Linked DNA regions of Pelodiscus sinensis. The protein of the gene in region 1 purifies or fractionates together with the protein of each later gene. This does not show direct contact. Links are inferred from orthologs where the notes say so. Each region holds a gene or a part of one and is shown on either strand. Other genes may lie near its edges.

Evidence for each region.
Region 2: the proteins of WWC1 (region 1) and AMOT purify together in Homo sapiens (affinity purification with mass spectrometry; 3 studies listed by BioGRID and IntAct, with this or other methods). This does not show direct contact. The link is inferred for Pelodiscus sinensis from reciprocal best matches to the Homo sapiens genes WWC1 and AMOT.
Region 3: the proteins of WWC1 (region 1) and PTPN14 purify together in Homo sapiens (affinity purification with mass spectrometry; 7 studies listed by BioGRID and IntAct, counting the BioPlex papers as one, with this or other methods). This does not show direct contact. The link is inferred for Pelodiscus sinensis from reciprocal best matches to the Homo sapiens genes WWC1 and PTPN14.

Annotation. Positions count from the first base shown.
Region 1 is NC_134727.1:8,391,150-8,397,073, reverse strand, and holds the start of WWC1 (protein KIBRA), read left to right. Parts: upstream 1-2,592; 5' UTR 2,593-3,014; coding exon 3,015-3,133; intron 3,134-5,924. UniProt on the Homo sapiens protein: Regulator of the Hippo signaling pathway, also known as the Salvador-Warts-Hippo (SWH) pathway.
Region 2 is NC_134723.1:26,617,202-26,623,125, forward strand, and holds the start of AMOT (angiomotin), read left to right. Parts: upstream 1-1,871; 5' UTR 1,872-2,022; intron 2,023-5,924.
Region 3 is NC_134713.1:149,088,240-149,094,163, forward strand, and holds the start of PTPN14 (tyrosine-protein phosphatase non-receptor type 14), read right to left. Parts: upstream 3,260-5,924; 5' UTR 2,307-3,259; exon of another isoform or gene 2,287-2,306; intron 1-2,286. UniProt on the Homo sapiens protein: Protein tyrosine phosphatase which may play a role in the regulation of lymphangiogenesis, cell-cell adhesion, cell-matrix adhesion, cell migration, cell growth and also regulates TGF-beta gene expression, thereby modulating epithelial-mesenchymal transition.

The DNA.
Region 1 (5,924 bases):
GTAATGTAGTCATACGGAGTTGCAAATGAAACCCGGGATTTGAATTTCCCAGGCTTCATTTGCATAAAGCCGGCCGGCGCCATTTTTAAATGCCGGCTAGTTCGGACCCCGTGCCACGCGGCTACACGCACGGACTAGCTAGTTCGGATTAGGCTTCCTAATCCGAACTAGCTGTACACCTCGTTCCACACCTCGTACCTGCTCTTACCCTAGACACCCTGTGCTGAGCCACCTCTCTGGCCCAGTTCAGGGAAGCCCTGCAGTCAGGTTCCCTATGCTTTGATGCTCAATACATCCTTAGGGCTTAACTCCTTCCTGCCAGAACTGTAACCAGGGGACAGGAGGTGACTGGGTTATGTAGGTGGCCAGTGGCAGTTTAGAGGTGTGAACTGCCTTTCTGCACTATGCTGGCAGGAAGGCACAAGCTGCTTCTAGCCACAGAGAAGCAGTGTGTGGGGGGGAGATGACCTGTGAAAAAACATGGGCCAGGTCATCCCTGTCTTCCCTCCCCATTTCCCTTCAGCTGGAAGCAGCTCCCATTCATTCCCTCCTGCACAGGGATGAAAGGCTGCTACTGGTGTGAACTGTGACAGAGGTTTGGGGAGGGGCCTGTGACCCTTCATTTCCTTCCCCCCCCCCCTCCCACATGTTGCCTTGAAAAGAGGTGGATCCATCCTGGCAGCCCAGCCAGTGTATACAGTACTGTGCAGGGAGGCTTGCATCAGGCTGGTTACTCACCCCTATCCCTGTGAATCATAGAATCATAGAGCTGGAAGAGACCTCAGAAGGTCATCAAGTCCAGCCCCCTGCTCTAGGCAGGACCAATTCCAACTAAATCAACCCGGCCAGGGCTTTGTCAAGCCGAGACTTAAACACCTCTAGGGATGGAGACTCCACTACTTCCCTAGATAACCCATTCCAGTGCTTCACCACCCTCCTAGTGAAATAGTTTTTCTTAATATCCAACCTGGACCTCTTCCACCACAACTTGAGACCATTGCTCCTTGTTCTGCCATCTGTCACTACTGAGAACAGCCTCTCTCCATCCTCTTTGGAAGCTCCCTTCAGGAAGTTGAAGGCTGCTATCAAATCTCCCCTCACTCTTCGCTTCTGCAGACTAAACAGACCCAAGTCCCTCAGCCTCTCATCATAAGTCATATGCTCCAGCCCCCTAATCATTTTGGTTGCCCTCCGCTGGACCCTCTCCAATGCGTCCACATCCTTTTTGTAGTGGGGGGCCCAGAACTGGATATAATACTCTAGATGCGGCCTCACCAAAGCCGAATAAAGGGGAAGGATGTCTGTGTCAGAGAGGTTACGGGACTGTGTGTGTCACAGTCAAACCTTACAGATAAGGAGGTAAATAAAAAGATTCCAGCCACACAGCATTTCTTTTTCATAGGAGTGCAGTCAACTTGATGTTAATTTGAACGTGTGTACTGCATAGTTCTGCTTGCCACTGACCTCACTTGAATATGAGTAATTTTACCAGGTGTCCCTTATCCAACATAGGGAAATATGGTCACCTTATATGGTACCACTGATGCTGCTAGAGGAAATGAGTGTGCCCCTGCCTCACTCCACACAAAATGGAAGGAGAGGTAGTAGTGCACTCCTCACCCTCTTAGCCCAATGGTTAGAGCATTTTCCTGGGATGTGAGATCCATTTTGAATCCTTCCCCCTCTGGGATGGGGGGATATTGACCCTGTCTCCCACCTTGCAGGTAATTGCTTTAATCACTGGGCTAAAAGTACAAGCTGGGTATCACTTTGTTTTCCCCTCCACCCCTCCGAATTTTGAATGGACTCAATTCAGTAGGTGGCTTCTGAGCTTGTCAGCTGGATCAAGCCCTACATCCAATTAATTGCTCTGGGGCACAGGCCTGTGGATGCCCAGTCTGCAATACAGGGGAACTTTCACTTTAAAAATGTAGGTGCCAAGTGAGTTTTGGTACCTAAGAGTTCAGTTTATTTATGCAGTGGAGCCAAAATTGCAACTAGGTGACAAAACACCTTGGTGGATCCCGGCCCTTGGGTCTCCTCTGAGCACACTGGCTAAATCCAGCCATTTTAATATGCCACCCAAAGCTTTCTATCTGGAAAAAATAAAAGGAATGGGGTGGGAGGGAATGACCAGGAAACCCATCACCCTAAAGCAAGCACAAGCTGCGGGGTGCCTGAGCGGTGACCTCCTGGACTGGTTGACTGTAGCACTGGGGTAAGGGCTGTGGCTGCTTAAGGCTGCCACGCTGGGCTCCACAAACAACCCCGTGCACGCTCCAGCTCACGGCCATGACTACCTGGGGCCGGTAATTTCCCGGGGAAGGCTCCGCAGAGTCAGGGGCGGGATCCTGCCTCACCTGTGCCCTGTTCTAACCACTAGCCCGCTCTGCCTGGGGCCGCGCTAGCCCGAGACGCCCCCGCCCCTCGCTGCCGGGGAGAGCAGATGGCTCGGGGGGGGCCACCCCGCCCTCCCGGCTGGGCACAGGGGGGCGCCGAGCGACCCAGCCGGCGTCCGGGGCAGGTGCCGCCCGGTGCCCAGCCCCGCGCGCGGCAGAGGGAGGGGCTGCGCTGTGCCCACCCCCGTGCCCTGGATGGGGAGGCGCCTGCCTGCGGTGCGCCCGTGTTTACAGGAGCAGCGGCCGCCGCGCCGGTACCTGCCGCGCCGGAGCACCTGGGGGCGGGCCGGGCGCTCGGGCCGGGGCGGAGCAACACCCCCCGCCCCGCCGCGGCGGTGCCAGGCTGGGCCGGGAGCGGCAGGAGCGGAGCCACCCCCGAGCGGCCGGAGCCGCGCTGGAAATGGAGGCGTGAGGGGAGCCCGCGCCGGGATCTCCGGCTCCCCCGGGCGTAGGATGTGACTCCCGCCGCGTCCTCCTCGCAGCGCCTGGGCGGGTCGCCGCTGCCCCAGGCCCCGGGCCTTGCAAGGGGGGGCCGCCCCCCAGCCCGGCTGCTCCTGCCGGCGCCAGGCGCGGGGCTGGGCGCTGCATGGGGCGGCTCAGGCCGGCCTGGAGAAGATGCCAAGGAAGGAGCTGCCTCTGCCAGCGGGCTGGGAGGAGGCCCGGGACTTCGACGGGAAAGTCTATTACATCGACCACACCAGCCAAAGCACCAGCTGGATCGACCCGCGGGACAGGTATGAGGCCGGACCGGTTGGACGCGCCCGCGCTGCCTGTCGGGGCAGCCAGGCAGGTGCAGGGCGAGAGGCGTTTGCTCCGCCGCGCAGGGCAGGGGCAGCGCCGGAGCACAAAGAGCCTGATGCTAACGAGCACTGGCTCCTTGGACCCCCCCGACGGCTGGCCCGGGAGAGGGCTGGGGGGTGCGTGTGCTCAGCCTCTGTTGCTGCAGTTGCCAGTGGCGCAGACCAAAGAGGCCTCCTGACCAAGATGTGTAACAGCCCCCAGCGCTGGGTGCACGTTTACATTGATTCCCCCCAAACCACTTCTCTTTGCGGAGGGAGCTCTCTCCACTGCATAGGCTATAGCGGCTCGTAACTTCAGCGTTAGGGGGCAAGAGGCTGGACAAAACTACTTTGAATTTTGCTTGAGCCGCACAATCTTTTCTCGGGTCACTGCTAGGTTGGAAGGTGACTCGTACTGACTTTCATAGTGGGGAAACTGCATGTTGCTCTGTAGACCAGAAAGTATTTTCGGGGACTCTTAGTGCTAGTCTGGATAAAGTGTTTAGTAAACAAGTGATTTGATTTTGATTGATGAATAAATGCATCGATCAATTCATAAATATGGTTGGTACCATAATACCTGTTAGGACTAAATTCTCTGTACCTTTCAATGTGTGGGATAAGGATTTAGATTCATAGGTGTGTGTGTTGCTACCTCTGCTGAGGAAAGGCTAATTCACACAGCTGATGTTTAACTGAATAATATCAAGGTCTTACCTGATTCAGTCAGATGTACCCGGAAAGAGGACCTTTACTGTTTCAAATGTTTCCATGCTGTCCCTAGCCTAACTGGAACACCGTCCCATCCCAAGCATGCAATTTGACTCCATTGAGATTATTCAGTTTATTGTTTTTGATGGAAGAGAAGGAGTTCCCCTAACTCTGGCTACTAAGGGCAATCATTATAATGTTCGTTTTTGCCCCCTAAGCCATAAAAAAGTGACTTCTTACATTTTGACTTGTAAGTAGACCACCTGCATTATAATATATTCACAATATAAAGTGTGTCCTGGAAATGTCCTGGTTGCTTTAAGTTTGTCAGATGATCAAGAGTCTGCAGTTTTGGGCCAACTTCTGCAGGTGCAACCTGTCATTATTATATTTGCACTGCTGACACTCAAGATTTGACTTTAGCCTTTTGTTTAGTTGTGTTACACTGCCACTTAGCTTGCCACTGTTTAACAGCTACTTGGTAACCATTAGAATGTTAATGGAAGTGAGAGACATCCCTTGACTGATGTCATGACCTTCTATTTGTCCTGTATGCTATAATGAACCTCTTACTCAGTTCTCTTATGTCTCTATCTTCCCTGTGTTTCCCTTCTAACCTGTTTACAATCCTTGCACTGTCTTTAAAAACTCTTTAAAACATGCTTCTGCCATGTCTAGAAATCATTTCTTTTTGGCATTGGTAGGGAAAGTAGTCAGTTTTGTCACTGTTTTGGTTTCCTCACCCTTCCATCCATCCCTCAAACCTAGACTGTAAATTCTCTGTGGCAGGGACTCTCTTTGTTGCATGATGTTCAGTATCTAGCATGATGGGGTTCTGATCCTTGACTGTGGTTTCTAAGTGGCATTATAAATATTTGGGCAAAGAGTCCTTGTTCTGGCTCTTGTTTCCCATTTCGTTTCACAGAAGAGTCTTGTCCCCTTTGTTACTTCAGGGCTCTTGCAGATCTGACATAGACACTAATCTTCTTATCAAGCATGTTGAAATTATTATTTGGATTGTAGTAACATTCAAAGACTCGAATCACGATTGGGATCAAATTGTGGTGTGCTCTACAAACACCTAGAGACTTTTGGACAGAGACTATGGATCTAAGATCAGTGCTGTAGTATATTAGTGCTGTATTACGACATGTTCTATGTTTTGACCCATCTTTTTAAAACAAAATATCATGACCTAAATTCCTATTAACATTCTCATAGGTCCTACAATTGACTAACTGCTCTGATTCTGTTATTTTCATTCTAACTCATCTGATGAAGTCGAAAGCTCATGATCCAATATATTTTTGTTAGTCTCTGAGGTGCCGCAGAATTTGTTTTTAAATTCCCATCGGATATTCATGGAGTTAGTCATGTCCCATAGTGCTTCTCTGATCATTCTTATATCTCCTTGTATTACTGCTCAGTTTCCTTCTTGACCCACTTTACTTTGAAGTGTGCACTATTATTCTTTTGATCATTATTATAAATTATGCTCAAGATATTAAAAGCATCTGCTGTGAGTCACCATACCAGTTACTTTTTGAATGTTCTGTCAACTTAGGTCTCCTTAAAAAATTGCAGTTAAAATTATCAGCATGTGATCAATTCAGTTTTCTTGCTAATCTGTAGAAATGTCACTGAAACTGTCAATTATACTGTTTCTTTAGGAGATCATGTGAAGAGACAGATTTTTAACACATTTTAATTGTACAATTACTGCAACTGAAGAGACTTGTGCCTCAAAATACTATGTTAACACTTCTAAAATGCTAAAGTGATCTAAATTTATAAAATTGTACACTATGTGAAACTTTGCTGAAGTTTCAGGATTCTTGGACTTACTTACATTTTTTTTAAAGAAATTCATAGTCCAAAACAACTATAACAAGCATAAGGTGTCTCAGAATGTTACTGTAATAATTTTAAATAGTTAAATGGAGTCTGTCTTGTGTGGTAATTAGAAGTCTGTTTCTAGTTAACTTTTGTAATTGATTATTTCCCCCCCAACAATTGATTCTTTGTTTAAGCTTTT
Region 2 (5,924 bases), on another chromosome or scaffold:
GGGTTACGTACCAGATAGGGACTGTAGGTTTGTTCTTAAGTTGAATCTGTATGTAAGTCGGAACTGGCGTCCAGATTCAGCCGCTGCTGAAACTGATCAGTTTCAACAGCGGCTGAATCTGGACGCCAGTTCTGACTTACATACAGATTCAACTTAAGAACCCCAGGCATCCCCAAGTTAGCTGCTGCTGAAACTGATTAGCGGCTGATTCCAGGAAGCCCGGGGCAGGGGCTTCCTGTAGTCAGCCACTGGTCAGTTTCAGCAGCGGCTGACTTGGGGACGCCTGGGGCAGAGCAGCTGGGGTGCTACTGGGTTGGTCCAGTAGCACCAAGGAGCGGTGCTGCGGGACCAACCGGCAGCGCCCCACCTGCTCTACCACAGGCCTGGGGCTTTGCTCCACGTCTTCCTGGTCTGCTGGAGGGGGGAGGGGGACCACTAGCTGCGCCCCCCCCAGCAGACCAGGGACACGGGGAGCAAAGCCGCAGGGGCGGTGGGTCTGCCTCCCCGGCTTTGCTCCAGGTGTCTCTGGTCTGCTGGAGACGGTCCCCAGCAGACCAGAGGCACCGGGAGCAAAGCGGCAGCGGCAGTGGAGTCTCGTGCCTCTGAGGCTTTGCCAGAGCAAAGCCTCAGAGGCGCGGGACCCCTCCGCCTCCCCAGCTTTGCTCCCGGTGTCCCTGGTCTGCTGGAGATGGTCCCCAGCAGACCAGGGGCACCCGGAGCAGCTTTTCTCGCCCCGGAGGTCGAGGTGGCGGGACCGCTGCGCTCTGGGCAGTCCCACTGCCTGCGAGCTCTGGGGCGAGAGAGCCCCGTTCGTAAGTGCGGATCCGACATAAGTCGGATCCACGTAACTCGGCGACTGCCTGTATTGTGAACACAGTGAGGCTTGGAATCATTTAGGGGCAGTGAGTTTTATGGGTTTAAAGCTACACTAATTCAGATAAGTGATTTTGAAACTGAAACTTTTTAAATATAAGTAGCAAATTTCATAATCAGGCAACAACAGAAATCACTGTGTATGGATGCTGCCCTTAATCACATTTGCTTCTGAGCAATTTTTATGGTGCTGATGATGGAAAAAAAATGTTGGTAGTACTTGATGGGCACATACTGACCTTTTACTGGAGAAATACTGAGAAAACTGCTACATAAAGAGAATTTTTTTATTGCTCCACCACAGTCTAGAGACATAACAAGAATGGCACAGCATCTGCTGTGCTGTGCTGTGTTGTGTTGTCAGTAGAGCTAGATGGATGAGACAGGACTGTGGAGTGCAGCTACCTACAAAACATGAATGATAGCTGAAGCCATACCTGCAAACATCTACATAGCTTATTCTGACCTGCATGAATAATTAAGATTAAAATGTTTGTTTAAAAAGCTATTTCTAGTTTCTTTTCTCCCACAGGCCAAATTGGATTCCACAATCTCAAATGTAAAATATAAGCATTTAGATTTCATGTGCAATCTACTAAGTGCAAATTTCAACCTTCTGAAGTTGTAGCTTTCCTCAAATTGAATAAAATCGGGGGAAGAGCTTTTATGGTCAGAGGGAGAGAGAGGGTGTGTGTAAGTAATGCCTAAAACAACACTATGAGCAGCCAAGAGTGAATTGGACACCCTCTGCCTTAGCCTAACATCAGTCACTCAAGCAAAAGGTTGCTTTTTGTCTAGAGAAAAGACTATGGCAGGGGTGGTTATTTTAAATAGGGCTCACAACGCATTGGGATCTGGGCTGAGAACCCTGAATGCAGCAGCGGAATCTCGTCTTCCCTGGGGACCTTTCGGGGGGTGGGTGCCATGGTGAGAGAACTACACTTCCCAGAAGACGTTGCAGCGGGTTCCCACAGCGGGGCATGCTGGGAATTGTAGTTGGAGCAGCCTAGTGAAAGTTAATCCCCGAAGCGGCGTCAGGCAGTTCCCAGAGCTCCTCGGTGTGTCTCATTGTCGTGCCGCCTTGGTCACCTCTAGGGGGAGCGGCGCAAGATGGATGAGTGGGCGGCTGCTGGGGCAGGTGCCCACGGGGTAAGCACATGGGGCACTGCCCCCCAGGGTGCGTGGGGGGGATGATCTACCCGGCACACGAGGGCACCTTGCGCAGTCCCGCGGCTGCCGGTGCAGGCGAGCTCCGCCCCGGGGCTGTGGCTGCCGGGAGGCAGCGCGGCTTGTGTGCCGGGCACAGGGCGTTCTGCAGGGAGCGGCTCAGCAGCGCCGGGAAGGAAAAGGCGCCGCAGGAGCTTCTCCGCCGCTGCCCTTTGAACTGCTTTGTAGCCACTAACAAAGGGCAGGGGCGGGCTGGTTGCGCCGCTTCGCCCTGCCGCGGGGCTTTACTCTCCAGGACGTTTGCGGAGACGGATTTGTGGCTCTAGCTCCCTCCACTCGGCAACCGGGAGAAACAAAACCTGCGGGATCCCCCCTCCCCCACCGGAGCCAAGAAGGGGGGGGGGGGCTGGCTTTACCCTGCTGCCCATCTCGTCCCCCCTCTGCTCCTTCCCCAGAGTCCACTGACTCCCCGCAGTTGACGGAGGGGGCTGCCCTCCCCTTCTGCCCCCCATCTGCACCGGAGCCAAAGTACTGAGAGAGGTGCAGGCTGGCTTCATTCACTCCTCTGCACTCTCTGTATGGCTCCAAAGGAGCTGTCTCCCCCCCCACCCCCCATTGAGAGACGGGATGTCTCCCCTCTCTTCCCCTCCTCTCCTTTTACACACCAGAGAAAGGAGCTGTGGGGTGTGTTTTTGTGGCTGGGGCGCTTGGAGACCTATGTTTAGTTCTTGGCTCTACCACAGATTCCTTTTATGATCGGGGAGGGGGGGGAGGCTGCGGCATTCATTAGTATCTGTGTGTACTAATACAAGAGGAGTGGGGGCATCGATCGGATAGAGGAAAGGACCCCACCTCCAGCTTACTTTATGGCCCAGAGAGAGCCCCCTTCCCCATCACCAAAGTGAGGGACTGTCCTGTTCTACCTGGATCCACAGCTCCAAACCTGTAGCATCTGCATAAAGATTTTGCTCCCTTTCCCTGTCCGCTATGGCCTCATTAAATTTGGAAGAGAGTAAGTGAATCCATATCCCTTGTCTGGGATGTGTTGCGAGGACAAGCTTTTCACTCAGTCTGCAATAATCCCAGCAGAGGCAGTAGGTCTAGTATTCTGCCACTTCCTGCAAATCACATGTAGCTCCACAAATTTATTTCTGTTTTTTAACAAGTGTAGGGATCCTGCTAATCACTGCAGCCATGGGCAGGGTCTGGGCCTAGTGATCTTGGAGGCCAGGCACTGAGGTGATGGCAAATCAGGAGAATATAAAGGTTGGGAGTCTGTCTCTGTTAAACCTATTAAATATCCACTATAAGCCTGACCTTGTAATCCAAGCACAGGGAGGGAATAAATCCCATTAATTTAAGTGAGCATTAAGAGCTAGATCTTGGGTTCTGTGGAAGCATAGCTCATAAAGTGGACTGAAGGTGGGTTTAAACTTTCTATGTTGGGCACAGCCAGGAACAGATAGACCCTTAACATCAGTTGGAGCAGCCCATAGTTCCCACAGCAGTAGCTTCCTAGGATCTGTTCTACTAGTGGATAATGCCTGCTGCACAAGTCTCTCAGTAATGCTCCTTTCTCCTGCAGCTTCCTATATTGGAGGAATCCTCAGCTGCATGGCTTACATATCTCAAAGGGATCAGAGCAGAGACCAAAGTGCGGGGTTTAAACTTCCTCTGTGTCACTTCACATAAATACACATCTGACAAAGCGTTTTTTTAACCAAGAAAGCTTATGCTATGGATGTTAAAAAGTGGTTAATTAGGTAACCATGTAACCACTGAAAATTCTCAGCAGTTACATGATTACACTGCAGGCTCTGCAGTGTAAAGCTTATACTGCAGAGCCCCAAAGCACAACTGGCTCCTTGGGAGCAGAGCTGGCTGGCCCCACTCCTGGGGAGCTGGCAGCGCTGCAGACTTTGCAGTATAAGCTTTAAAATGCAGCCGGCTCCCTGGGCATACTGGCTTTTAAGCCGGCTCCCAGTGCATACTGGCTCCTGCCAGCTGGCCTGCTGCCATCCTGCATTGCAGGCTCTGATACAGAGCGAGCAGCACAGGGTGGCAACCAGCTCCCCAGGAATGGGGCGGAGAACCTGCATGTAACCGTTAACGGTAACTGATAAGCCTAGGCTTATCAGTTTAAATTATGGTACTATTACATCCCTAGCTTCTACACAAATAAATTTGTTAGTCTTTAAGATGCTACAGGACTCCTCATTGTTTTTGCAGATACAGACTAACAGGGCTACCCCTCTGAGATTTCACACACAAAAAATCGGTTTACTCTTAACAAAGATCCTAATTTCAGTCCCAAAATGGTATGAGAGAAACAAGAGATATGACTTTTTTGGGGAAGGAAAGCGTCTGTTTTAATTTTATTTTTATTCCAATATATAATAATAAATGGTAATACCTAGATTTTACTAGCACTTTTCATCAATAGATCTCGAAGTGCTTTAAAGAACAAGTATTAAGAATGCCTGTTGCAGGCTCTGAACAGATAATTAAGAAAACAATCCAATAATGAAAGCAGCAGTGGCAAACCACAAAAAGCTAGTTCATATAACCACAATTTCCACACCCCTCAAATAAAATTCCATACCTCCAGTACAGGCAGTCCCCGACTTACGCGGATCTGACTTACGTCAGATCCGCACTTACGAACGGGGCTTTCTCGCCCCGGAGATTGAGGTGGCAGATTGCTACCTGCGAGCTCCGGGCGAGAAAGCCCCGTTCGTAAGCTGCTCCGGTGCCCCTGGTCTGCTGGAGACCGTCTCCAGCAGACCAGGGACACTGGGCGGGTTCCCGCGCTTCTGAGGCTTTGCTGACCAGCGCTGACTACAGGAAGCCCGAGGCAGAGTTGCTCTGCCCCAGGCTTCCTGGAATCAGCCGCTGATCAGTTTCAGCAGCAGCTGACTTGGGGAAGCTTGGGGTTCTTAAGTTGAATCTGTATGTAAGTCAGAACTGGCGGTCAGTTTCAGCAGCGGCTGAATCTGGACGCCAGTTCCGACTTACATACAGATTCAACTTAAGAACAAACCTACAGTCCCTATCTTGTACGTAACCCGGGGACTGCCTGTATCCCCCAAATCTCAGTTCTCCTCAAACATTTACTTAAATCAAAGAGCTTTGTGGTGTGCCTTGTAGATCAATGTATTTAGGTTATTACCGGCTAAAGGAAAGGGAGCTGGGGAGTGAATTCCAAGGAGGGGCCTTGTGGGAAGGAATGTTCTGTCAGTTGGTCCCTTATCAAATTTCTGTTGTTTGAATAAATAGCTGAATGTTAGGGAGCTTATTAGAACCTGGAGTCTGAACCTGTCAGACCTGGGTCTACTTCTGTTATTTAAAAAAAGAGATTGCCCAGAATTGGAACTTAGAATCTAAATTCAGTTTATCATTTAAGATGAGGGAAACTTAGTGAAGAATGCTGGGCGAACATCTTATAAGTTCAGCATGTAACACTTTGCTATAAATTATCTGAATTCTCCTGTGTCAGCCTCAAACCCAAACTCTGAACCCTGTCCCTTGTGCTAACCCAGATCTGCATATTTCATCCTCTTCCTCTGTCTATTGGAAATGGAGCAAAATGCAGGACAATGTAGCACTTTAAAGACTAACAAGATGGTTTATTAGATGATGAGCTTTCGTGGGCCAGACCCACTTCCTCAGATCAAATAGTGGAAGAAAATAGTCACAACCATATATACCAAAGGATACAATGAAAAAAAATGAACACATATGAAAAGGACAAATCACATTTCAGAACAGGAGGGGGAAGGAAGGAAGGTAAGTGTCTGTGAATTAATGATATTAGAGGTGGGGAGAGTGGGATGTTTGTGAGTTAATGGTATTAGAGGTGATTGGAAATGGGACACCCTTGGATT
Region 3 (5,924 bases), on another chromosome or scaffold:
CCCCATGGCCATTCCAACCTCCTACAGATGGTCTGATCCCTCACACTCAGGTTAGCCTGTGGGAGGGGCGGCTGGGGTCAGGCTTCCCGGCACTCACCACAATGGTGGGAGCCGCAGGGAAGTGGAGCGATGCAGCGGCCTGCTCCTCTCTGTCACCATCTCCCAGGTTAGCCCAGTCGCTTTGCTTCCTGCAATGCAGGAGGGAGAGAGGGGCCCGATCACCTGATGCCACCCTGCACCAGGCCTCCTAGTAATCCCAGAGGCCACATCCCTCGGGGGAGGTGTTTGGGATAAGGGGTGTAATGGGTGGAGAGGAAAGAGCAGGAGTGGGAAGAAGTGGGGCAAGGCAGAGTAGGAGGGGGATGAAGGGTACTGACCCCTCCAGGGCCACAGGGACTCATGTGCTGGACTGGGGAGCTGCCTGGGCTGTAGATGGCCTGCGACCCATGAGTTTGAGACCCCGGCTCAAGGAACACCACTGTACTAAGACTAGCTGTGGCAAGGGGAATGCAAATATTTGAAAGTCACGGATTTTAAATGTTTTCTTTTTTAGGCACATTGTATACATGAAGCAGTATTAATGGCTCCATCCTGCAGCATTCACCCATATGGGCCCTGATCCTCCAGTGAGACTTGACAGAGCCCATGTAATTGTACCATCAGACCTTTACATGGGCATATGGCCATAAAGTTGTAATTGCAGGCTTGGAAACCCATGAGTTATTCCACAGATTTAAAGGATTATCATTGGAATGAGAGCTTCAGGACTGGGCCCAAAATCAGCAGTTTGCATGGCTCAAAACTTCTGAATCATGCCCACTGGATTTAGGTTTAGGCTCCAATCCTTCAAGAAACTCAGCTAGGCAAACCCACTATGTTAGTGCAGAGATCCACTAAAATCAAGGGATCTACACAGTCATTTACAGATCAATGCCTAAATCTATTCTATGCACACATAATACAGTAACCCCTGATATTTTAAAGTAGTCCAATGTTAGCTATGATCTACAGCTGGGGTGGGGAACCTAAGGCCCGGGGCCAGATGCAGCCCCCAGCTTGCCTCATCTGGCCCTCAAGGCAATCAGAGTTGTCCCCAGCATTGGGGAGCCCATGCTGGTGAAAAAAGAGAGAGAGAGAGAGAGAGAGAGAGAGAGAGAGTGGGTGGTTGTTGTTTCTTACTTGTGTGCAGCCCCTCACTGATTTTTCTGTGGGTCAGTGGCCCCCAAACCAAAAAAGGTTCGCCAGCTACAACCTTCCTTAAAGGGCAATAGCAAACTGTGGAGTCTGTATGTCATTATAAAGTTTGATACAATTTCAAATGAATGGTCAGAATAGACCAGAAAACAATGACAATTTCCAGCAAAAACGTCTCCTAAAAACTAGATGGCTTTTGTGGCTTTTACACTGTGCTAGACCCTTTGTTGTTTTTTAAGTTTTTCCAGTTACAGACTAACTCGGCTACCCCTCTGAGGTATTATTTGTTTCTATGAAGTTAAAGTTACAGCTGCAACAGAAAGATGCTTATAATGGAATTACTTCTCAAACCAAAACTACAGTGTTCATGATGGGCAAAAATATTAAGGCACATACACACAGGCACGCACCCACCCAATACCTTATGTACATCCCAAATGGATTATAATTAGTGAGGAGGCTACTTTTGACTTTTTTAAGATTCAGGAACTTTGGAACATGAGAAATGAGAAGGGATACCCCACACAGTCTTGTATAACAGGAATTTCTGCCCAACTTGTTACAACGTTCGCTATCCAGTGGAATGGCCAGTATAGATTAACTTGTTACAGTGCTTATAGCTAACAAAGAACAAGGTAAATCCATCCCGCTGGGGTGGGGCAAATGAAAGGAGAGGAGGATCCTGGAAGCTGAACAGAGTCCTGCCAAATAGAAAGCAGCTCAGCAGAAGGCTAAGGTTGTCCTAATTGGTTCTATAAACCCTATATTGAAACATCAGCTTTCCTTACATATTAGGGCTTGTCTAATTATATTTACACAGAGTGGCCTTGTTTTATTAAAATTCACAAACAGGTAGTTTATCTGTAGCACGCAGCAGTTTCAGTTTAAATATATTTGCATTATATACACAATGCGTCCTGGACTGCGTTGCAACGGAGGATACTTTATAATAGATGGGGGCAGATTTCTATACCCCCCCCCCCGCGCTATAAATTATGGCAAGCCTTGTTTTAAAAGTCACTCTCGCTCCGGCGCTGCGATCCGCGGGATAAGCAAGTCCGAGCGCTAACTCCACACAAGCCAGTCACGCTTGAGGAAACGCGGCTGCTTACCTGCGTTTACACGCCCAGGCAGCTTCTCCTCTCGCGGCGCGCTGGGAACGGGCTCCCCCTTCTTCGGGGAAACGGCAGCAAGAGCCGCTCAGCCTTCGAGCGAAACCTCCGGGTGGGTTTCCCGGCGTGGAGAAAGAGGTTTCCGCCTTGATCCCAAGCGGCGCGGGGCGGGGGGGGGCGTAGGAACCGGTGCCGCTGGGAAGAGGAGCTGATTGCGGCACAAGGCGAGGGAACCGGGGGGGCTGTCTGGATTGTGGGCTCCGCCGCCCCCGCGCGCTACGCCTGTCTCTGCCGCGGCGGGGAAAGTTTGCGGGAGTTTGGGGCGGCGGAGGCAGGAAGCCCCGGCCGGGAGGGGAGCTCCCGCGGCAGCCCGGGGGCGGGGGAAGGAGCGAGGCAGGGGGCGGCGGCGGAGCCGGAGCGGGCCGGCGCGGCTGTGTGCGGCGCGGGGCTGGAGCCGCGGCCGGGCGCGCAGTCACAGCCCTGGAATGCCAGGAATGCGGAGCGGCCGCTGCGCCGCCGGGGCCCGAGACGGCGGGGACTTGACATGGGCTTTCTCCGGCTTGTTTTCCCTCGCACGAGAGGAGGGACGAGGCCTGTCCCAGGGAGGAAGAGGAGGGGCAGGCTCCTGCCAATCCCGCCGGCTGCTGCCCGGGCCCGGGCGGCAGGGGTGTCGCGGGTTTCTGGGGAGCCCCCTGCGCCACCTCCTCGCGAGTCAGTGGAGACAGGCCGGGAGCGGGGGGCGGGAATGCTGAGCGAGCCCGGGGGAGGCAAGGGCTGAGTCAGTCCGCAGTGGGTTTGGCGGAGGAGCGGGCACTGAGGCAGCCCATGTCTTTGGGAGGCCGGCCTGCTTCTCTGCCCTGCTTTGCCGCCACCCGGGATTGCGACTGGCCCTTGGTCCTCCCGCTTCCGGCTGTCTGGTGCATCCACCCTTCCCTCCTTCTCCTTCCCTGCCCTCAGCTCCTTTCCCTGTGCTAGGTGAAGGGCTCCCAGCTCCGCTCCTCCCCCCTCCCCCCACCCGTTCTCTTGTGTGGGGAACAGTAAATTCAATGGCTTACAGGTACTGCCCTGTCACACACCCGGGGGGAGGGGAGCTCAGGGCAGGCAGGGGGTGGGGAGCTGTGATGTGCATGCGTCTGGACCTGTAAGAAATATAAGTTTGGGCTGAAGTGTGGACTCAGGGCAGGGCAGGGCTGGTGTCTGGAATGGCGCAGGAGTCAGAGCAGCGAACTGGGAATGTGGGAAGTGTAGGGGGTATGATGAGAGGCCCAGGGCAGAGGCTTTGGTTGTGGGATGTGGGAAGAGGCTTAGGACAGGGGCCTGGGAGGGGGGGTGGAAGGGCTTGGACAGTTCCAGTTGCTGCCAGGTCACCTTTCCTGGCTGGTGGACAGGTCCCTGCCTGCTGCTCCTGTTCCCTGCGCTGCCACAAGTTGAGCTGTGCGCTGGCTGTGCGGCAGCGCTGCTGTAGGGAAACCCATAGCAGTGTTAGAGACCCCCTGGCCTGTGCTCCTTTCCCCTGGCTTTTTCCCAGTGGCTGCTGGCAGCAGTGCATGCATGTGTGCTGCTCAGCATCCAGCAAGAGAGGGGCAGCAGGACAGGCATGAATGCACTAAGACTGTGGCTGGGAGCTCGAACCCCACCCTGACAGCGTGTTCCCATGCAGCCCCCTTCACACATGCCTGCCTCACGTAGCTGCATGTGCGGGAGCACAAGTGCCAGCCCACTGCAGAAACCATGGGAGCCCAGCTCCGTGAACATGCTGCATTGCGCACCCCTATAGCGGAGCGTTCGGCAGATTGTCCCAGCTGACTCTTGCCCGCACAGCAGTACACAGCCTTACTTTCACATCTGGTGAGGAGCCACTCTTATCCAGGGGAAGGACACTGGAGAATCCAGCTGCAACCAGTTCTTTCTGCTCATGGCCAATTATTTGCTGGGCTCCTGCAGAGGGAGTAGATGAAATACTCCCTGGCTACGTCTACACTGGCCCCTCTTCCGGAAGGGGCATGTAAATTTCAAGAGTCGTCGTAGGGAAATCCGCGGGGGATTTAAATATCCCCCGCGGCATTTAAATAAAAATGTCCGCCGCTTTTTTCCGGCTTTTAAAAAAGCCGGAAAAGAGCGTCTAGACTGGCCCCGATCCTCCGGAAAAAGCGCCCTTTTCCGGAGGCTCTTATTCTTACTTCAAAGTAAGAATAAGAGCCTCCGGAAAAGGGCACTTTTTCCGGAGGATCGGGGCCAGTCTAGACGCTTTTTTCCGGCTTTTTTAAAAGCCGGAAAAAAGCGGCGGACATTTTTATTTAAATGCCGCGGGGGATATTTAAATCCCCCGCGGATTTCCCTACGACGACTCTTGAAATTTACATGCCCCTTCCGGAAGAGGGGCCAGTGTAGACGTAGCCCCTGGCTACTGGCAATGCTGGCGCCACATGCACCCGTTGTTTGCAAGAGAAACCACAGAGGAAACCCTGCGGTCCCCCCCAGACATGTGATGGAGTATCACAGATGGGAATCTTATGCAAGAAATAACTATTGGTAAATGAGGAAGGGTCATTCTGCTCTAAGGTTGGCTGAGGAGCATGATTGGAGCACACTGTACCAGGCTGCAGCTTCTGCTAAGATGATGAATCCGTTACGAGTGAACTAGTGTTAAGAATATGTAGACCCTGCATATAATTCCCCAGATATGTATAGAGTTTTGCAGGTGTTGCGTATTTAAATAATGAAAATCACAATGTTTTTACACCTATAAAGAGCCCTTGTTTGCTAAAAATCAAGAGAAAGTTACCTAAACCCAGATTTTTAATCTTGCATTAAACCACTTTTAGCTTTTAACGTCACCTTTCTCTGCTTGATTTCAGGCTATGGGACACTGTTTAGGAGGGTAGTTTGAGTTAGCAGAGTGGGGGAGAAAGAAATGGAGAGTACGAGCGGCTTTGGAAAAAGGCACAGAATTCCTCTTGGTGTCATTAGAAATGTGCAGAGATACTAAGGTCAGAATGTGCTCCTAAAACTGTAACTTTGAGATTCTCTACACTTGAGTTAGAGAGAATCTCATGTCTTTAAAAGAAAAAAAAAAAGTGAAAATTGGAGGTTGATTTGTTTGTAAGACATTTTGGAATTCATATGTACAGCTCTTTGAAGGGCTTGGTCATGCAGTACTCATTTAGTACATGAGTAGTGCCATTAGACTCAGTGGGCATTACTCATATCAGTAAAGGTAATAGGATCAAGCCCATAAAATGGAGAGAAATAGAACAGGTCCTCAGATTAGATAGACAAGTAATTGTGCATAAGTACCATATGTGGAGTCACAAGTCTTACCCCTGGCAATATAAAATGTAATTATACCTTGCAGTGAAAGTCCCATTTATCTGAAACGTTCTAATTCTACCATTCTAAGCCTCACAGCACATTTGTGAAATAAGGAAATAGCATCCACATCTTGCAGATGGTTAGTTATAAAGTGTTGCATTCAAAGGCTTGTCTTGCTCAAGGTCACACACAGAGTCAGAGTATATGGAACTGTGAATAGCACCTAACCATAAAGCACAGCAGGTGTAACGTAGCATTAGCAGAGTAGATTCTTGTTTATATTTTCCCTCACAAGTAGAAAAACAC